Oryza sativa Japonica Group: one gene and its partner. The main gene of each other region encodes a partner of the protein of the gene in region 2 in a complex. Links are inferred from orthologs where the notes say so. Each region holds a gene or a part of one and is shown on either strand. Other genes may lie near its edges.

What was found.
Region 1: the proteins of ferredoxin-thioredoxin reductase, variable chain (region 2) and ferredoxin-thioredoxin reductase catalytic chain, chloroplastic are in contact, whole or in part, in a crystal structure (PDB 7C3F), measured with the Arabidopsis thaliana proteins. The link is inferred for Oryza sativa Japonica Group from reciprocal best matches to the Arabidopsis thaliana genes FTRA2 and AT2G04700. Residues at the interface, in NP_568195.1 of Arabidopsis thaliana: Leu116, Lys117, Val118, Tyr119, His120, Val140, Trp143, Lys146, Lys147, Ile148, Ser149, Ala150, Asn151, Leu152, Phe171, Thr172, His173, Leu174, Lys175, Glu178; in NP_001323778.1 of Arabidopsis thaliana: Arg88, His89, Tyr90, Asp92, Ala95, Glu96, Gly98, Gln99, Phe101, Trp102, Val107, Pro108, Arg110, Glu111, Arg112, Lys113.

What each region holds. Positions count from the first base shown.
Region 1 is NC_089043.1:8,137,126-8,141,610, reverse strand, and holds the start of ferredoxin-thioredoxin reductase catalytic chain, chloroplastic, read right to left. Parts: upstream 2,948-4,485; 5' UTR 2,783-2,947; intron 2,404-2,782; 5' UTR 2,382-2,403; coding exon 2,297-2,381; intron 2,217-2,296; coding exon 2,089-2,216; intron 3-2,088; coding exon 1-2. UniProt on the Arabidopsis thaliana protein: Catalytic subunit of the ferredoxin-thioredoxin reductase (FTR), which catalyzes the two-electron reduction of thioredoxins by the electrons provided by reduced ferredoxin.
Region 2 is NC_089038.1:26,933,853-26,936,706, reverse strand, and holds ferredoxin-thioredoxin reductase, variable chain, read left to right. Parts: upstream 1-1,202; 5' UTR 1,203-1,315; coding exon 1,316-1,810; 3' UTR 1,811-2,074; downstream 2,075-2,854. UniProt on the Arabidopsis thaliana protein: Variable subunit of the ferredoxin-thioredoxin reductase (FTR), which catalyzes the two-electron reduction of thioredoxins by the electrons provided by reduced ferredoxin.

The DNA of each region.
Region 1 (4,485 bases), on a different chromosome or scaffold from region 2:
CCCTGCAAAAATATTTTTAGTTGCTATTCAGAATCAAGAAGACACAGAAGGCAATCCTTAATTTTATACTTTTTACCAAGAAAGGGCTGGAACAATGACAACAGTCCACAGTTTATATTAAAATAAAAACAAGATGACTTCTCTCCTGTGATTAAACCAGAGTAGAGGAGCTGATTGTCAAGCTGATGGAGTTTTATCAGTTGGTATCAAGGAATGGCCCCAGTGGTTCCAAGAGTTAGCTAAAGGGATTGTGAATAGTGGTAGATTGTGATTCCCTTTTATTATCATTTGCGCTCATTTACCATGTCCTTTATACATTGGCTTGCTGGTTTACAACATTGATGGATCATTTGTTCCCCTCAATTGACACTATGGCCACAATGCAAGAGCTTAATCATGCCCTCTAAGCATTCACCAGTTTACTAACCCCTTGGAGTGTCACTGACAAGAAAATCCTACATAACACTCATAACTTTTTTGACCTTCTCGCCCATACCCAAACACTGTCTGATGATCGGCTGTGTCTTTGACCAAGTTACAGGTATGATTTCCATGGTCAACACACAACTACTTAGTCTTGTTAGTGACTCAGTGTCCGCAATGTACCAAATCAGTCACTGCAATGAAAGCGAAAAGAAATTATGTACCAACGGATAACAACAGTTCAAGAATATCAAGGTCTCAGTCCACAGAGTAGGCACATGAGGCAATAAATCAATGTAATATTGTTTTCTCGATGCTAGCTGTATGAGATTAGAAGAAAAGCTCTAATGTGAGAACAAATTTCCTTTTTGTTTAACCTTGATACATCTTAGCAAAATATGACTTAAATACTCCATTGAGATTGTAGGCAAATCAAAAGTAACAGGTACATGAGGACTCCTAGTCTAGACAAAAACTACATGGTCATAAAACTCATTCTAGTAATACTCATAGGATCCCACCAGAACAGATCCCAGGTATGACCTTAATCATCCAATAGCCCAAATACTATGCAGAAAAGTTAAAACACGATTTTTGAGTTACATATGATCCTACAATACGAACTGTCAACTCAAAAGGCATAAAGAGATCCACTATGCAACCAACAAAAAGATTATCCATGATTTAAAATGCATGTATACCCACCTCCAACAACTCAACCAACCATATCATCTATTCGTATATAGACCTTGTATCATAGCAATCGCCTTGATCTGTTTTCTACTCACGGATTTGTCACCATCTGAGGTAATTATTCCTCGCTGCTTGAGATCCACGATTTCGGACTATCAATTGGAGTACTCTTTTCTTACTCATGTTTGGGCAATTGTTGATTTCTTCTCCTTTGGCAGTTATCAGAGGAAATACCATTTGCTATTATTTATGTCTCTATTCTAGCAATGTAATTTAACAGGGAGATGCTGTCAAACTTTACCTGGGAATGGTAAACTATTTTGAGATTTGGGCACTTAGACAATGCAGTAATATGATTGATTATCTAGAGGATGGGGCTCAAATATATGCCTTTTATTATGTTGGACTTGGGTTTTCTATTTTTTTTCATGAAGAGATTGCTGTGAATACACTCTTCATATACATTTTAGTTCAGTAATCAGCATTCAGCTGGCATGCTTCACTGTTTCTGCTCTAGTTGTTTCATATCCCAAACAGCACTGGGAAAGAAATACATGTTGCATTCAAAGTTCCTTTTGTGCTCTGAAAATCTCAGGCAGTACGCAGCACTCACCTTCTACATCAATGCAACCTAGGATACTTAAAACTGTGTGTTAACTTAGCGTGTTGAACCAATGAGGTGTATGGAAGGCCTTGCTAACCAATGGAAAATCAGGGGCATACTGGCAGGTTCTCTTCTACCTAAGATTGAAGCCTACTGCATCAACTTTCAACAGCAGCAATAGGGCGTAATAATCTTCTTATCAAGCTGCAGGTACAGAACACATGAAATAGCAGCATAGAAGAATTTGTTTGTGGCTAAGATGATTTTTGCTAGTATTTGATTTGTATGTGCACGCAGTGAGATTTTTTTAAAAGTAAAGTTTAACGAGGATTCAAGAGAGAAGTAGAAAATAGATTTGGTTCCATTACCTTGATAACAACGGCGGTGACGGACTTCTCGGAACAGAAGAAGGTGTTGGAGCGGCGGGCGTACTGCTCAGAGAATTTGCGCATAATCTCGAGCGACTTATCAGATGCATCCGCTCCGGCAGCTCCAGCTGTGTACCCCCAAATTAAGCAAAAGAAATCAGAAATCGATCAGATTACAGAGTACTGCATAGATTGAGTAGACGGATACCTTGAACTCGAACTGTGCATTTGCGTCCTCTGGGCATGGGTGAAGGGCAAAAGGGGCTGGCGGTGGTGGAGGCCATCGACATCATTGCTGGACAGCAGCCCACCGATCTGCGAGATGACAAAGGTGTATGTTGTAAAAAACTAATGTTGCTCATTGATCACTCTTAAGAAACATCTTGTAGTTGCAAAAATTATGTGGGTTATACATACCCTTTCTAATACTACTGGGTTGCGATGTAATTATACTAATGGTATGTTTAGATGTAATGATCCTCAACACCTCTTCAAAAGGGAACCTAAATTAAAAACTTGGGGAGGCGCAGCGCTGACGATGACCAACACGATAACATCACCTCACCTCCCAACACGATAGCAACTAGCAAGCAGGTACGATGGAGCGCCATCCCTAACTAAATCAAACCCCCCGACAGAAATAGATCGAGAAAAAAACATAGGGAGGAAGAGGAGAGCACATGTGCATACATACCCTGCTTCTCGGATTGGGAGGGGCTGAGAGGGAGTGAGGAGAACTCCTCGTCGGCACGCGCGCGCGGCGGACGAGGGGGGCGGGCGGTGGCGGCGGCGGCGGCGGCGGCACGCGCGGGAGGGAGGGAGCGAGAGAGAGAGAGAGAGAGGAGGATGGGGAATGAAAGGAGGAGGGGCGTGGAGAGGAGAGGAGAGCCGGTAAACTGGGAGTGGTGGAGAACTGGAGACGTGGTGGAGTGTTTGCCTTTTTCGCGAGAACGACCTCGTTCTCTCACGTTTTTAGATCATAGTCTTGCGAAACTTGATTTGTCCTTATATTTTCGGAAAGTATAGGGGTGTTTTGAATAAACTTCTCTGATGATGAAGGGTTTTTTTTTTTTTTTGCAAAAGTTGAACATCGGTTTAGGCATGTTCACTTTGATGCCAAAAAAATATTAAATTTTGGTAACTTGCCAAAATTTTAGCAGGATTTCTTATATAGTTATCAAAATTTGGCAGCAAACTAAATGTAACCACTTTTTTTTTGGTAACTTTACTAAAACTTGGTAAGGTTAAAAATGACATCAAAGTGAACAGGCCCTTAGTTGGGGAAAATTTTTGGGTTTGGTTGTCACATAAGATATACAGACACACATTTAAAGTATTAAACGTAATCTAATAATAAAACAAATTAAAGATTTCATCAGGAAACTGCGAGACGAATTTATTAAGCCTAATTAATCCGTCATTAGCAAATGTTACTGTAGCACCACATTGTCAAATCATGCCGCAATTAGATTTAAAAGATTCGTCTCGCAATTTATATGCAATTCTGTGTAATTAGGTTTTTTTTCCTACATTTAATACTCCATGCATGTGTTCAAACATTCAATGTGACAGCTGTTTACACCCAAATTTAGCACCTATGTAACGCCCCGATTTTTGTTCGGGATTAAAAATCATTAAATAATGTATTTTCTAGAAATTAAATAAAATTTAAAGCAATTTAATCAAGTGAATTATTGAGGGAATTAAAAATTTCCTTTAAAAATTATTGGCCGAGAATATTTTGTAATATTCTTTGTGCCTTAAAATACTCTCTGAAATTTCCCGCGAATTTTCGGAGCTCGAGAAATAATTTGAATAGTACAAAGTTCATTTAACCAATTAAATAAAATGAAAAACAAATTAAAAACCTCCTCTCTCCCTTTTGGGCCACTCCCGGCCCAATCCCCCTTTCTCTCCCGCGGCCCGCGCGCCTCTCTCCCTTCCTCCCCGGCCTCCCCTCTCCTCTCTTGGGCCGTCGGCCCGTTTCCCCTTCCCCTCGCGCAAAGTCTAAATAACCCCCGGCTTCTCCTCCCTCTCTCCCTCCCCGACAGGTGGGCCCGGCGACCCCACCTGTCAGGCTCTTCCTCTACCTTCGGCTTCCCAGGCAGAAGCCGCCATGGACGGTCGTTGCCGCCCACGTCGCCGCCAATTCCGGGTCCTCCCGCCTGCGCCCTCGCGCCTGAACCGCATGAAATCGGTTCCCCACCACCTCCTCCACCAAATCCCCCACTTTTCCCCAATTTTCGGCGCCAAATCGAGTCCCCACTCCGCGCATGTTGACCTCCACGTCGCCGGCCGTTACCGCCCCAAATTCGCCACTCCCCGGCCTCCCCGTTGCTCCCTCGCGCTATATAAAGCACCCCCGTGCTCCCCTCTTCCGTTTCCTCTCCTCGCCCG
Region 2 (2,854 bases):
TGGGGATCGTTAGTACTAGGATATATGCGAGATTGTAGTAAAAGAGATGGAGACGAGGATTTTTATACAGGTTTGGGCCCCTGAATTGTCAGGTAATAACCCTACATCATGTTGGCCGAAGCCGGTATTACTCTTATTCACCATAATCACACCAGTACAATATTTGGGGTAGCTTATCTAACTGTTGTCGACATGGCGGTCTGAAGGTCTGACTCGTAGTCGACAACAGGGTAGTCTTCCTCCTCGAATCCGTGCCCGGCGAGATCAGAGATAGCGCTTTCGTCTCTCCTGACAGTATCCGGAGACACCGTAGGGGACTAGTCGTGCTTATCCCTGAAGTCGATATCCGGCGTCTTGTCTTGGCGTATGTTGACTTGTATTGGCTTTGTGGCTTTGTGGCGTCTATGTTGTCCGTGTCCCCTCTCCTCCCAGGGGGCCTTGTATTTATACCCATAGGTGTCCTCTTATCCAAGTAGAACTAGGGAAACCAATATGGATACAATCCGAGTAGTCCTTGTCGTTTCCATATAGAACTCTAGTCATCATTCCTTATACGGAACTCCTCCTATATCCGAAGGTTGTTTCCGTATAACACATGGTATGTGGTGGATCATGTTGAGATTTAGTCAACTACTATTAGGTATGTGGTATCTATAACCCTGACAAGGCCCAAATTTAAATACAACATATAAACACCCAAAGTTGTGATTGAAATACCAAAAGATAATAAAGATTATTGGAAGACGAATCTAGACTCTATATAGGAATATAATTTAGAAATAACTAAAATTTGATATTAAAAATAACTAATAACTATCATGTATGTACAATACAATTTGAATATTCCACATTACTAGTTTGGTAAAGTGAGTACAAAATTTAAAATTATTGTCATTTTAATATATTTTAATAATAAAATAAGAAATATATATATATATATATATATATATATATATATATATATATATATATATATATATATATATATATATATATATATATATATATATATATATATATATATATATATGCTATTATATAAGAGAAATATAAGAATGCTAGCCACCATGCTAGTGTTAAAGAAAAGGGGATCAGATTATTGCAAATTTGAATACAATTTGCTAGAAAAAAAATCTTAATCTCAAGGATGCATGAAATTCGGCTTCTTTAAACTGGTTGGCTCGGAGGACCAAATGACCCTTGGGATGGTCGCAGGTCAGTGTAGACATCCACCTCGCCAATCGCCATCCACCCCCAACCTTCAGCTGGCTCGGCAATCGGCATCTCTTATCCTCACGTGCGCACCACCTGCTCGATGAAATTCCCCACACGGCCACCAACCGTGCCGATGGCACCCGCCACCGCCACCGCCGTGGCGTCCCCCTCCACCTCCTCCCGGCTCCTACACCGCAGCCTCCTCTCGCCAACACCCACGGCCGCTCGCTGCCTCCGGCCGCCGCTGTGCCGCGGGCGCCTCCGCACCGTTCGCCAGGTTGTCGCCAACGGCGACGTCTCCTCGCCGTCCTCGGACGTGGCCGCCGAGGAGTCCGCGGCGGCCCCCAAGATCGGCAAGCGCGTGCGCGTCACGGCGCCGGTACGCGTCCACCACGTCTCCAAGGCGCCGGACCTGGACATCTGTGGCATGGAGGGTGTGGTCAAGCAGTACGTCGGCATCTGGAAGGGCAAACGCATCACGGCCAATCTCCCCTTCAAGGTGGAGTTCGAGCTCAGGGTGGATGGGCAGGACAAACCGGTCCGGTTCTTCGCCCACCTTCGAGAGGACGAATTCGAGCTCGTCGAAGACGAATAGCTGAATAGGTCTCTTTTACAGAATAATGTGCTCTCGTCGTCTGCAGTCTGCAGATGCAGTATCTGTATATTAGAAGAGAAGATTGAAGAGGGTGCGAGGAGATCGCAAGTAAGTTGTTGTTTGTTTACTTGTCGCGTGCTCTTCCTCACTCTTTTGTAGTTCTGTTAAACACCAACATTTTGAGATTTGAGAAACTGAGAACGGTTCGGATTATGACAATTATGAATGAAAGTGGTTATACTGATGGTTCTGTTGTTGGCTGTATTCAGTAGTATTTTTTCCAGTTATCTTTTCAAGAGAATTCGCTGCTTATAAGAATATGTTACTCATCAGGATGGAAATCAATCTCTCTGACTAGCGTAACCTTTTAGCATTTGATTGGAATATCGGATCGTATTTATCTATTGGTCTGTTCACTTGAACATTTATCCCACAGTCCCAATTTCAATTGTTATGAGCTTATTTAGTTGCTGCAGTAATAGCATTGAGAACTTGGCTCAGGGTTGCTAGCCAACTAAACTAGACATGTTAATTCTTAGTAGCACAATTGGTTTCTCAAGACCTCGGTTATTGTTGGTGGCTCGGTTTACTCCACAAACTAGTAAATTACCAGTAGTGTTCACCAGGATTTTACCGTAGGCTTGTTTCGTCCCTCTGCCCATCAAATGTGGCCTTGCTGAGTTAGCCTTCCATGTTTCCAATTGAGTTACATGGTTTGAAATGTATTCACTGTTCTGGTTGAATTCCCTTGAATCTTGATCTGTCGAGTGAGAGCCATGCTTTAGGTTTGGCCTGTGCACATACATATTTGGACCTGACCAAACATAGATGGCACATGAACTGGATTGTGGAGGGTATTTAAGCTACTGTAGTTTGCCTCAACTTTAGACCTTGTGATTAGGTCCTGTGTGAAGGTAAAGTGCACATAGTTATTTATAGCACATGTTGGTGGTGATTCTCTCCAGATATATTACACCAGGTCATTAATGCTGGAAAACTTACTTATGTGGATATACTTTCTCCTCGTCCTCTACGGTGCTTGAT